4 linked regions of the Saccharomyces cerevisiae S288C genome follow. The protein of the gene in region 1 binds, or shares a complex with, the protein of each later gene. Each region holds a gene or a part of one and is shown in the gene's direction. Other genes may lie near its edges.

What was found.
Region 2: MRPL22 (region 1) and MRP49 share a complex: the UniProt entries of both Saccharomyces cerevisiae proteins name them as parts of the mitochondrial large ribosomal subunit.
Region 3: MRPL22 (region 1) and MRPL25 share a complex: the UniProt entries of both Saccharomyces cerevisiae proteins name them as parts of the mitochondrial large ribosomal subunit.
Region 4: MRPL22 (region 1) and MRPL31 share a complex: the UniProt entries of both Saccharomyces cerevisiae proteins name them as parts of the mitochondrial large ribosomal subunit.

Annotation. Positions count from the first base shown.
Region 1 is NC_001146.8:303,152-306,502, reverse strand, and holds MRPL22 (mitochondrial 54S ribosomal protein uL22m MRPL22), read left to right. Parts: upstream 1-1,887; coding exon 1,888-2,817; downstream 2,818-3,351. Other genes in the region: TDA7 (Tda7p), read left to right, coding at 1-1,433; 40S ribosomal protein uS3 RPS3, read right to left, coding at 3,101-3,351. UniProt on the Saccharomyces cerevisiae protein: Component of the mitochondrial ribosome (mitoribosome), a dedicated translation machinery responsible for the synthesis of mitochondrial genome-encoded proteins, including at least some of the essential transmembrane subunits of the mitochondrial respiratory chain.
Region 2 is NC_001143.9:133,143-135,922, reverse strand, and holds MRP49 (mitochondrial 54S ribosomal protein mL61 MRP49), read left to right. Parts: upstream 1-1,788; coding exon 1,789-2,202; downstream 2,203-2,780. Other genes in the region: cAMP-dependent protein kinase catalytic subunit TPK3, read left to right, coding at 218-1,414; putative serine/threonine protein kinase KKQ8, read left to right, coding at 2,461-2,780. UniProt on the Saccharomyces cerevisiae protein: Component of the mitochondrial ribosome (mitoribosome), a dedicated translation machinery responsible for the synthesis of mitochondrial genome-encoded proteins, including at least some of the essential transmembrane subunits of the mitochondrial respiratory chain.
Region 3 is NC_001139.9:636,509-639,143, reverse strand, and holds MRPL25 (mitochondrial 54S ribosomal protein mL59 MRPL25), read left to right. Parts: upstream 1-1,566; coding exon 1,567-2,040; downstream 2,041-2,635. Other genes in the region: PEX8 (Pex8p), read left to right, coding at 1-1,400; U4/U6-U5 snRNP complex subunit PRP38, read left to right, coding at 2,269-2,635. UniProt on the Saccharomyces cerevisiae protein: Component of the mitochondrial ribosome (mitoribosome), a dedicated translation machinery responsible for the synthesis of mitochondrial genome-encoded proteins, including at least some of the essential transmembrane subunits of the mitochondrial respiratory chain.
Region 4 is NC_001143.9:184,786-187,541, reverse strand, and holds MRPL31 (mitochondrial 54S ribosomal protein mL60 MRPL31), read left to right. Parts: upstream 1-1,860; coding exon 1,861-2,256; downstream 2,257-2,756. Other genes in the region: APL2 (Apl2p), read left to right, coding at 1-1,082; CMC1 (Cmc1p), read right to left, coding at 1,250-1,585; HSK3 (Hsk3p), read left to right, coding at 2,530-2,739. UniProt on the Saccharomyces cerevisiae protein: Component of the mitochondrial ribosome (mitoribosome), a dedicated translation machinery responsible for the synthesis of mitochondrial genome-encoded proteins, including at least some of the essential transmembrane subunits of the mitochondrial respiratory chain.

The DNA of each region.
Region 1 (3,351 bases):
CATGGTCGTCGTTATCATCACCATCTTCGTTACTGGTATCGTCCTCGTTGTCATTATCACTATCTTCATCATATTCAGACACTAAATTGTTTTCGTTCGACAGCAGATCTTCTATTTTCTCACCATCAACACCCACCGTAATATCCCCTAGTTACACATACTTGTCTTCCATATCTGCAACTTCATTTCAAATTAGTACCACTTCAGAACTCTCTTCTAGTTGGTTCTCAACAATTTCTTCTCCTTCTACGATATCAAATAAAGATACCACATTCCCAAGTTCCAGTCGGAATACTTCCACATCGTTTTACAGTTCATCGCTTTCATCGACGAACGATTTTTCAACCATAAGCAAATCATCGAAACTCAGTCCATCAGCTTCATCTTCGACAGTTTCCATAAGCACGATTTCCGTGCCAACGTCAAGTTCTGTTAGCTCATCCAGCAGTAAAGTACCTTCAAACCGTCCTTCATCATCATCATCATCAGATGATACAACAAGTGCTTACTCAAGCACGTATACTTTTCAGTCCTTACAATCTACTACTAGCAGCAGTATACCACCCACCACTCAAACACCCAGCACTAGTACGATTTCTACGTCTCCCATACCAACATCCAGTCAGGTCTTCAATACGGTAGCCATTTCAAGCTCCGAAGATTCAAAAACTATTTATTATTTCTATACCCAAACATATGATATTACTGACTCCTCTACAACGTTCGTGACGGGATTACCTACGACCATAGCAGTTGCAAAAAGTGAGGTAACCTCATTTTCCGCTCCATCTTCGACGATCACAGCTGACATGTCTTTCTATCAGCACTGGCTTGATGGCAGTTTGGATAATAACAAAAACCAAGGCACTTCAAAGACAAATACTGGTACCATTGTTGGAAGTGTGGTAGGAAGCGTCGGTGGTATTCTTATATGTGTACTAGTAGTTTGGTTCATGCTGGTTAGAAAAAGGAAGGCAAAGAGGCATTTCAAGGAAAACGATTCCTTCTGTCACGAGATTGGGCGCAGAACGGGATTCCCAACAACTGCCCAAGCAAAAGAGGCGTCACTTCAAGCTCAAGACTCGGGATCACAGCAACGAAACACCGAGACTGCTTCTGCTAATAATCCGTTCAGCAACGAATTCAATTTTAAGGCAAGAGGAAATCCTCCTCCAGTGCCACCACCAAGGAATGTTACCGCAATGAATGGCTCCTTTCAAAATATGCGGAGTAATTTCATGGACCAGGAAAACAGATTTTCCTATGGCTCTTCATTTACATATTCGTCATTGGGTTCATCTACTCAAGGTGGCTTTTCTACTTTATCTTCAAATTCGATACGACTCGGACGTGGTTTAGATAATGACATCTCTCATGATGAGAGAAATACAGTTCAGAACAATTCACAAGGGTTCTTGAGGGAAATTATATGACGATGACTTCAGTCTATTAGTATGATGTTTACTAATTAAGCAAAATCAGCTCTTGCTGAATAACACTACTATTAAAAATCATAAAAACATCTTTATTGCCAATAGTGAAGAACGACAAGGCCTTTTAAAAGGCATAAAAAACAATGATACCATTCTGCAATGAAAAAAAAAGAAAACTTTGTTCTTTGTGTATAAAGAAAATATTTTAGTTCTCCTAAATAAATAAATACTAAATTATACGAAACTCTTTCAGTCTTTTCTCCTGCTTGCTGCTTGAACAGTACTCATGATATTCTATTAATCTTCTGTGGGCGGGGTAACTAAGCCTTCACTGTACTCGGGATTTTGAATAAAAGTCAACTATCCAATCTGGAAGGCATTTTAACATACGCCATTAGGAGCCGCATAGCAAGTCAGAGAACCTCACCTCACCCTATCTTTTTTATTAAAGAAAATGAACTTCCACACGGCAAGAATATCTCAGGTCGGTGTCATTTCTAGGGCTCTACTTTCTTCTGTAAGTAGACGTTGGATTCATGTAACGCCAATAAGTCTTAATAATTCAGGAGGATCACTATTCGGAAGCATTACAGAAAATAAACCAAAGGAAGGAAAAAACAGGGGGGATGAAGATGCAGGCAGCTTCTCTAATAGGTTAGCGATTGCTTCTGATTCTTCTGGAGAGGCTCCTGAAGTTAATAGGGATTCAATAACCATAGAAAACGATAAACTACTACAGCAACATATCATATCGTTGCAGCAACCGGAACAATTAGCATCACAGAGCTTATTATCTCCTTTGAAAAGGGAAATATATGAAGCTAATTGTAAAATTAATGGTGGGTTTTACAAGAAAGATACTATTGTAAAGTTACCAAATTCTAGCGAACGTTACAAGCTAAAGTTAACAAAAAGAGAAATTGAAGTACTAGAACCTTCCGTATATGCTCAGTCATATAGAATTAAATCGTCGATGAAAAAGGCTACACTTTTGTTGAGGTTATTGGGAGGCCTCGACGTTATGAAAGCTATATCTCAGTGTCACTTTTCTAATAAGAAAATTGCTCGCGAAGTAGCAGAACTACTTCAAAAAGGTGTAAAAGATGGCCAAAAATTAGGTTTGAAACCAGAGGACTTATATATCTCTCAGATTTGGACAGGGAGTGACGGGTTTTGGAGAAAACGTGTTGAATTCAAGGCAAGGACAAGAATCGGAATCATAAGTCATCCTTACATACATGTCAGATGTATTCTGAGAACAAAGAGTGTTACGAAACGAAGACTTGCTTATGAAGCACATTTAAAAGAGCAAAAAAGAGCGCCATGGGTACAGTTGGGAGATAAGCCCATTAGGGGTGTTACAGGCGGCGTATACAAGTGGTGAAAACGATAGCGAACTCATTCATATCCGAGAAATCGTCCTGTAAGCTGAGAAAGATGAACTGCTACTCACTTCTTAACCTATATTCACAGTTGTGTTGTACAAAACTTTTCTTTTGATTATATAATATTGTGATTCTGTAAATAACAACTAGTTTCAACGCACTGCTTCAACGTGCACCCTCCTGACTAAACACGGCAATATGCAAGAAACCGCAACAATTAAGTGCACTAGAATAGAAGAAATTATTGTACTTATAGTTTATTTATGTATTTAATAATTAAATCTAAGCTTCAACTGGTTCAGCTTGAGCTTCAGTTTCTTCAGCTGGTCTGTAGTCCTTGACAGATGGAGCAAGAATTGGTTCTTCTTCTTTTGGTTCAATGATGGTGACAGCATCTGGCAAAGCCTTTGGACCAGTTCTGCTCTTAGCTGGGTCTCTCATAATCTTAACCTTGATACCCAAAACACCTTGTCTCATCAAGACGTGTCTAGTAGCAGTGTCAATGAAGTCGTTGACTGGTTGACCAGAGTGAA
Region 2 (2,780 bases), on another chromosome or scaffold:
CACTTTTTACCAGCTGATCTTAAAAGTTTTGTCTGCTTTATTACTTCTATCGGTAAGAAACTCGAGTGGACATACGAGACACTTTGTGCAGTCGTCGGAGAAAATTTATAGGCGATCACTCTTTAAGCAATAAGAAAGTTTCACGTATATTATTGAATAATACATTAATCATATTGTATATCGGTGGTTGTACAAGGAAAGAGCGAGCCTGCACAAAATGTATGTTGATCCGATGAACAACAATGAAATCAGGAAATTAAGCATTACTGCCAAGACAGAAACAACTCCAGATAACGTTGGACAAGACATTCCTGTAAACGCACATTCGGTGCATGAGGAATGTTCTTCCAACACACCCGTGGAGATAAATGGAAGAAACAGCGGAAAGTTGAAAGAAGAAGCGTCTGCAGGTATTTGTTTGGTTAAAAAACCAATGCTACAATATAGAGATACCTCAGGAAAGTATTCCCTAAGTGACTTTCAGATTTTAAGAACTTTGGGAACTGGCTCATTTGGGAGAGTTCACCTAATTCGTTCCAATCACAATGGGAGGTTTTACGCTTTGAAGACATTGAAAAAGCACACTATAGTGAAGCTGAAGCAGGTTGAACACACCAATGACGAACGCCGAATGCTTTCAATTGTTTCACATCCATTCATCATTCGAATGTGGGGAACGTTCCAAGATTCTCAGCAAGTTTTCATGGTAATGGACTACATTGAAGGTGGTGAATTATTTTCTTTACTACGTAAATCTCAAAGATTTCCCAACCCAGTAGCCAAATTTTATGCCGCAGAGGTATGCTTAGCGTTGGAATATTTGCACAGTAAGGATATAATATATAGAGACTTGAAACCAGAAAATATCCTTCTAGATAAAAACGGCCATATCAAGATAACCGACTTTGGCTTCGCAAAATACGTTCCCGATGTCACATACACATTATGTGGCACACCAGATTACATAGCGCCGGAAGTGGTCAGTACAAAACCGTATAATAAATCAGTGGATTGGTGGAGTTTTGGTGTGCTAATCTATGAAATGCTTGCCGGATACACTCCATTTTACAATTCGAACACCATGAAAACTTACGAAAATATACTGAACGCCGAATTGAAGTTCCCACCATTTTTCCATCCAGACGCGCAGGACTTATTGAAGAAGCTAATTACCAGAGACTTAAGTGAAAGGTTGGGTAACTTACAAAATGGAAGTGAAGATGTCAAGAACCATCCGTGGTTTAACGAAGTGATATGGGAGAAATTGTTAGCAAGATACATAGAAACGCCGTACGAACCACCAATCCAACAGGGCCAAGGTGACACTTCTCAATTTGACAGATACCCTGAAGAGGAATTCAACTATGGAATTCAAGGGGAGGATCCATATATGGATTTAATGAAAGAATTTTAAGGAGGTTCAGTGGGATAATTGTAATTGAAAAAAAAAAAAAATCAATAAAAGTAAAAACAAGAACAAGAAAAAGCACAAACAAACCTGGTTATAGATTCTTGGTGAGTCTAACAGGGCCATGATAAAAAAGTGACACATGCATATATGTACATGTATATATCTACGTACGTCTATTCAATAGAGGTGTATACAGATAAATAAAGGAGCATTCATATACGCCATATTGTGACTACATTTGCGTCCTCAGAAGACTGGGACGTTCAAAGTGATCTAGGACTTTTCACCCAGGGAAAACAGGATATCTGTAAGAATCGGCCATAAAACTCATTAATAGAAGAACAGTATAACATAAGTGAGCCTGCTACAATAAGAAGATGTCTAAGGTTGCACAACAGTTAAAATTTTTGAATAAAATTAGCGCCACTACCAGACTACCGCAGATTCTAGTCGATCCTAAAAAATACTCAGGTCTTAGATTGACTTTTCAAACGAAAAACCACAATGGACATATGGGTGCCAGAGTTTTTTGGCATAACTACCTACCCACTTTGCAGTTCTATAATCCAAGAATGAAGTTTGACGTGATAAGGATAAAGAACGAAGACAAGCAAAAAAGCGTTCCATGCAAACTGGAGATTTTATCTCATGAAGGCTCCGTTGTAGAGACTATTGATATGCGTAATAAAATGCATGAAGATATAATGAAAGACTTACTTGACAAAATAGAGCACGTTCCTCTTCCTGAAAATGAGATCATAAGAGTTGGACCGCAAGAAAGTATTATATAAGCTTTCTCTCGATAAGTTTGTTCATGTATATATCAAAAAACATTGCCCTTCATGGAAATATGTAAATTCAAAACTCACTTATGGGGCATATAAGTATATAATTTAGAGTACAATAAGTAGGATTGTGCTGAATATTGTCAGCCCTTGGGTCCCTTTTTTTGCCCTCCGCGTATTTCTTGTGGAAAATAAGGAAATTTCATTTTCACTTCAACTAGCTAGTTTAATTGCATGATGGACTCAAAAACATTGACAGCATCAATGGTAATGCAGGAGGAGAAGAAGCGGCAACAACCTGTGACAAGAAGAGTAAGGTCATTTTCTGAGTCCTTTAAAAACCTTTTCAGGCCGCCTCGTTCAAGAGATTCAAGTCCTATTAATGTCACCCGAATTCCTTATCGATCGTCTTCTACCTCACCCAAGAGAAGCTCTGAGCCACCAAGACGATCAACCGTATCCGCACAAATTTTAGATCCAAAAAATTCTCCAATACGCCAGCGTAGTTATACATTGAAGTGTTGCACCCCGGGCCTGTCACATCCATTTAGACAGACAGGAAGTGGTGCTAGTAATAGTCCTAC
Region 3 (2,635 bases), on another chromosome or scaffold:
TCAAACAATTGAACAACGCCTATTTTATTGATGAATCCAGCAACAAAACTGCGCTTTATTACAGAAACTGGAAATTACAACTGTTTTCACCAATATGGGCGCAGCTATGGAATACTGCCATTGTCAGGGCTAATTTATCGATTCAGCATTGCCTTCTGATAGCATTAGCTTTACTTTTTAATCAGTCAAACCGAAGCGCCCTTTTGCATGGAGTTGACGTATCATGGAATTTGGTCACAGAGAAACTATTGGACCTTTTGGAAGAGTATGTACACGGCATTGTGCAGCCGATGGAAATTTTTTCGACTGATTCAGTCTTATCAACCAACTTGAATCATTTGGCCAGTTGCTTGACCAGTTCAATCACGAGGTCAAATGAGGCAACTTTGGTAAATTCAGTACGCAAACTAGAAAGGATATGTCGATACTTGTCCGATACTGTGGCTTCGTTGAAAGAACAACAACTAGATTTCAAGTTCCAAAATGTATTTATCCTGATAATCCTCGCGTTAAAAGAATTATCCGCCATGAATATGACAATACTGCCTAACCATAAAGACACTTTTTATTCTATGATCTGTTTAAGCCTTTTCCACGTCCACGTATTGACTCAAAAAATCGGGACAGTCGGTTTTCCCAGTTACGATTATGTTTACGATAATTTAGTAACGTATTTCATTGTCATGGATGACTTGTCTAAAATCACTACAGTTTTGGAACTAATGAAAAGAAACAACACCAAACAAGATCCAAATAAATTAGTGTTTTACATCAATTTTCTAAACAAAATTACTAATTACTATGGGTGTCGCATTCGTTTGCCGTTTATTACTGAGTTTATCGAACCTTTACTGCATTTCGATGTATTTTTTAGCGGGAAGACGGGCAATACCTTGGATATTGAAATCAAAGAATCTATACACACATTGACAATCACTGTACTGTCTATAGACTCCTCTTATTCCTCACAGGTTGCACAATGGCAAGTATCCCGCATACTCGTCTATTTAAAGATGTCGATGGACCAATTTATTGCAGGTAAATTGTCCGCAAATCAAATTTTACTTATATTCGGCCATCTATCCACACAACTTCCCTCACTACATAATTATAACAAGCATTTGCTTAGGGACTCTTTGCACGAGACGTATATCAGAATTGTTAATGTAAAAAACCCAGAAAAGAAGAATGTATTGATTGAATGTCTGATTGTACAAATAGCCTTTATCAACAATCCTCATCATTTGATCGGCTGGTTGAACATCTGTCTCCAGCTAATCAATACACATAACAAAAAGCTACTTCAACAATTGTGGGAAATGGTTTCGAGTCTAGAATCCTCCCTAGCCATCGACTGGTGGTACACAACGGTCTTATCAAGTCAATCTTCTAAATTATAGTATCATTAAGTACTTTATAGTAGCGCCTTTTTATATTCCTTTTTTCTCAAACAAAAAAAAAAAATGACTGGGATACAAGTGAAAGTGGAAGAGCAAGTGAAATACGAAATAAAGTGAACCATTTATACAGAATAGGAAAACCAACTAGTGCATTAAACTAAACTCCATGTCATACAAACAGTATTTTGATAGTTTGCCTTTGAAATTGAAGTCCTTTTTCCAAAGATACCCCCCTTCAATCAAGTATTCTCCAGTGTCTACATCTACTAAAGCCATTAATGCCAATCCTTTCCTGCCAAATAAACATCCGGTCACACAACGATTTCATGATCCGAAATATTCACTTAGAAGAATGAGTGACGTATATAAGTTGGCACTGCGTTATGGAGTAGAAGAGTTTTTACCACCGATCGAAAACACTAAGAAACTTTTCTTCGAGGAGAAATACAATAAAAAGACCCTCATGAAAGGTGTTCTCTTGCCCAAGGGTCATAAGCATGAATTGAAATTAAACGAAAAGCTAAAAAAACGTGAAGAAGCTTTAAAGAAGGTAGATGAGTTGATTGCTTCCAAGAAGGGTTCGAAGTATGCCAAGAGAGTAGAAAAAATGAAAAAAAACCAAAGTATAGGCTGGTTCTGAAGAATAAGAGAGAAGATAACTATAGTTTAGAATAGTAAACCCTATGTGTACTGTTTTATGTTTTTAATGTCTAATCATGTAAATAATTTTGTGATATCAATAACGAACGTTCTGAACAAGAATTATGATAAAAAAAAGTAAAATCTAAAGCCATTACAACGCTATATTTTCAGTGGCAGTAAAAACGCAAGAACAAAAACAAAACGTGGGTAAAGAACAAGGACTACAATGGCTGTCAATGAATTTCAAGTGGAGTCTAACATCTCTCCAAAACAACTGAATAACCAGTCAGTGTCACTTGTTATTCCTCGGTTGACAAGAGATAAAATTCATAATTCAATGTACTATAAAGTAAATCTAAGCAACGAATCTTTGAGAGGCAATACAATGGTAGAGCTTTTGAAAGTTATGATTGGCGCATTTGGTACCATAAAAGGTCAAAATGGTCATTTACACATGATGGTTCTCGGTGGCATTGAGTTTAAATGCATCTTAATGAAGTTAATCGAAATCAGACCGAATTTCCAGCAGTTGAACTTCTTATTGAATGTAAAAAATGAGAACGGTTTTGACTCGAAATATATTATTGCTTTGC
Region 4 (2,756 bases), on another chromosome or scaffold:
CTTTGTTGTTGACAGAATTAAAGGAATACGCAATGGAATATGAACCTGAGTTTGTTTCAAGAGCTATTCAAGCTTTGTCCCAGTTGGGTATTAAATATGCACAAGAATCATTCGTCAGTAAAGTCTTGGATATTCTCCTAGAATTGTTAGAAAGACAAGACACAATAAAAGACGACTGCTGTATATCATTATGTGATTTATTAAGACATTGCCCCGGAAACGATAAGATGGCCAAACAAGTTTGTGCAGTATTTAATACTTGGTCAAATCCAGAGGTGTTATTACAATCAGATATTGCGAAGTGCAACTATGTCTGGTTGCTAGGACAGCATCCCAACAATTTCTCAGATTTGGAGTCAAAAATCAATATTTTTATAGAGAACTTTGTTCAAGAGGAAGCTTTAACACAGATGTCTTTACTAATGACAATAGTCAGACTACATGCTACTTTAACGGGTAGTATGCTACAAAGCGTCCTAGAATTGGCCACACAACAGACACATGAATTAGATGTGCGAGATATGGCTATGATGTATTGGAGATGCCTTTCGATGCCAAATAATGAAAGTTTGGTTAATGATCTATGTCAAAATAAACTTCCAATGATCTCCAATACACTGGAGAAGTTTTCACCAGAAGTGCTAGAGAAACTATTAATGGAATTGGGTACTATAAGTTCCATTTATTTCAAGCCCGACTCAAATAGGAGAAAAGGCAAAAAGTATGTTCAAAATATAGTTAAAGGAAAACATATAGAGGAATTAGAAAGCATGGCAAAAAATGAAATTTCTAGCAAGGCTAACGATGATGTGCTATTGGATTTTGATGAAAGAGATGATGTAACAAATACAAATGCAGGAATGCTGAATACTTTAACAACTTTAGGCGATTTGGATGATTTATTTGATTTCGGACCATCTGAGGATGCCACACAAATAAATACAAATGATACCAAGGCTGTACAAGGGTTGAAGGAGCTGAAACTAGGTGGCGACTCAAACGGTATATCTTCTGGTGGTAAAAACAATCCCGATGTTTCGGGCGGCAATATAGTGTCACAGGATCTCCTCGATTTATTCTGACTATAAACGTCCGTTGTAGTGAACTTAAGTATTATACCATACATATATACCCTTCGTATTAATTTTTCCTTTTTATTGTTGGGCTGTGTGTATATAATTTATGTACAAGAATGGATATATCAAAAAATCCTTAAAAGATGTAAATCAAAAACATCAATCAACACAGCTTATTTTGTAGAGCTTTGTTTTTGACATAACTTTTCAAGCTTGTTGATTTTTTCTAAAACAATTTTATCCCTTTCACCATCTAAATATTTCTCATCTGTTTGATAAAACAGGAGGCACGATTTCATTTCATCTCGTTGCTTATCACAAGTGGGAAAAACTTTCATTCCATTTGCCTTAGCACAATCTGCCATTGCTTGAACAAAATTTGCACATTTTTTGTATGTTTCCGTCTTCAAGTTCTTGCGAGCCTGTTGTTCTTCGCGAGGACTTAGCACCCATATAGGTAGCCTAGAACTATGTTTCGAGATCATCTGCGGATCTTTGTTTTGCTCCATCTTATCAAATATATGAAAGTTGTTCCAGATAACTTGAAGATATTCGACTTTTGTATCTCTGGCTTTAATTATGGTTAAATCTTCCTAAACTATCATAGGTATAAATACAGGGCACTCCGTTTTCAACTTTATAATCGGAGAAGTACAAGAGCATTCAAAAAGTTCAAGAGAACGGTATAACAAAAGGACAAAGGGAAGCCAAAGAGGGAAAAAAGATATCCGTACTTTGTAGGAAGGAGACGTATTTAAAAGGCTACCCAAGTTATAAGACTCCAATGTTTGGCCCATTCAAATTAACAAGCCCCGTCGCTGGTGGCCTACTATGGAAAATTCCATGGAGAATGTCCACACATCAAAAAACCCGTCAAAGGGAAAGATTAAGAAACGTTGATCAAGTCATAAAGCAATTAACTTTAGGTCTCCACGTCCAAAGATGTCAGGATAAAGGTCTTACTTATCAAGAAGCCATGGAGAGCAAAAAGAAATACAAGCCAAGAAGTAAATCGTTAAGGTTGTTAAACAAACCATCAGTCTTTCCAAAGGAGAATCAAATGTCTTCTAAAGATAAATATTGGACTTTTGATAAAAAAGCTGTTGGTTATAGGAAGGGTATTCATAAGGTGCCCAAGTGGACGAAGATTTCCATTAGAAAGGCCCCAAAATTCTTTTGAATGATACGTAAAAGATCGTTTTATTGATATAAAAATTTCATCTGTATATAGTTTAATCATTGAATAACTTGTTTATAGATCCATGTTTGAAAGTAACACTCCTAAGAAGGCTTTGATGTTTTGTATTGCTCATATTATATCATGCCCATTGAAATCAACGTTATTTTTTTGTAAAGGTGGGAAGAAAGATCAACAAGATAAATGGCGAAATAGAACATATCAGAACATTTGAACTTCAAAACGAAGAGGACACAAAGAATTTCAGGCAAGAGAATGAACGCTAACAAACAAAGGCAGTATAATCAGCTTGCACACGAACTTAGAGAGCTTCAAACGAATTTACAGGAAACGACAAAACAACTAGATATCATGTCGAAACAATGTAACGAAAACTTGGTAGGCCAATTGGGTAAGGTACATGGAAGTTGGTTGATAGGTAGTTACATTTATTATATGGAGCAGATGCTTGGAAAAACGCAATAAGGCATAAGAGGTAAGAC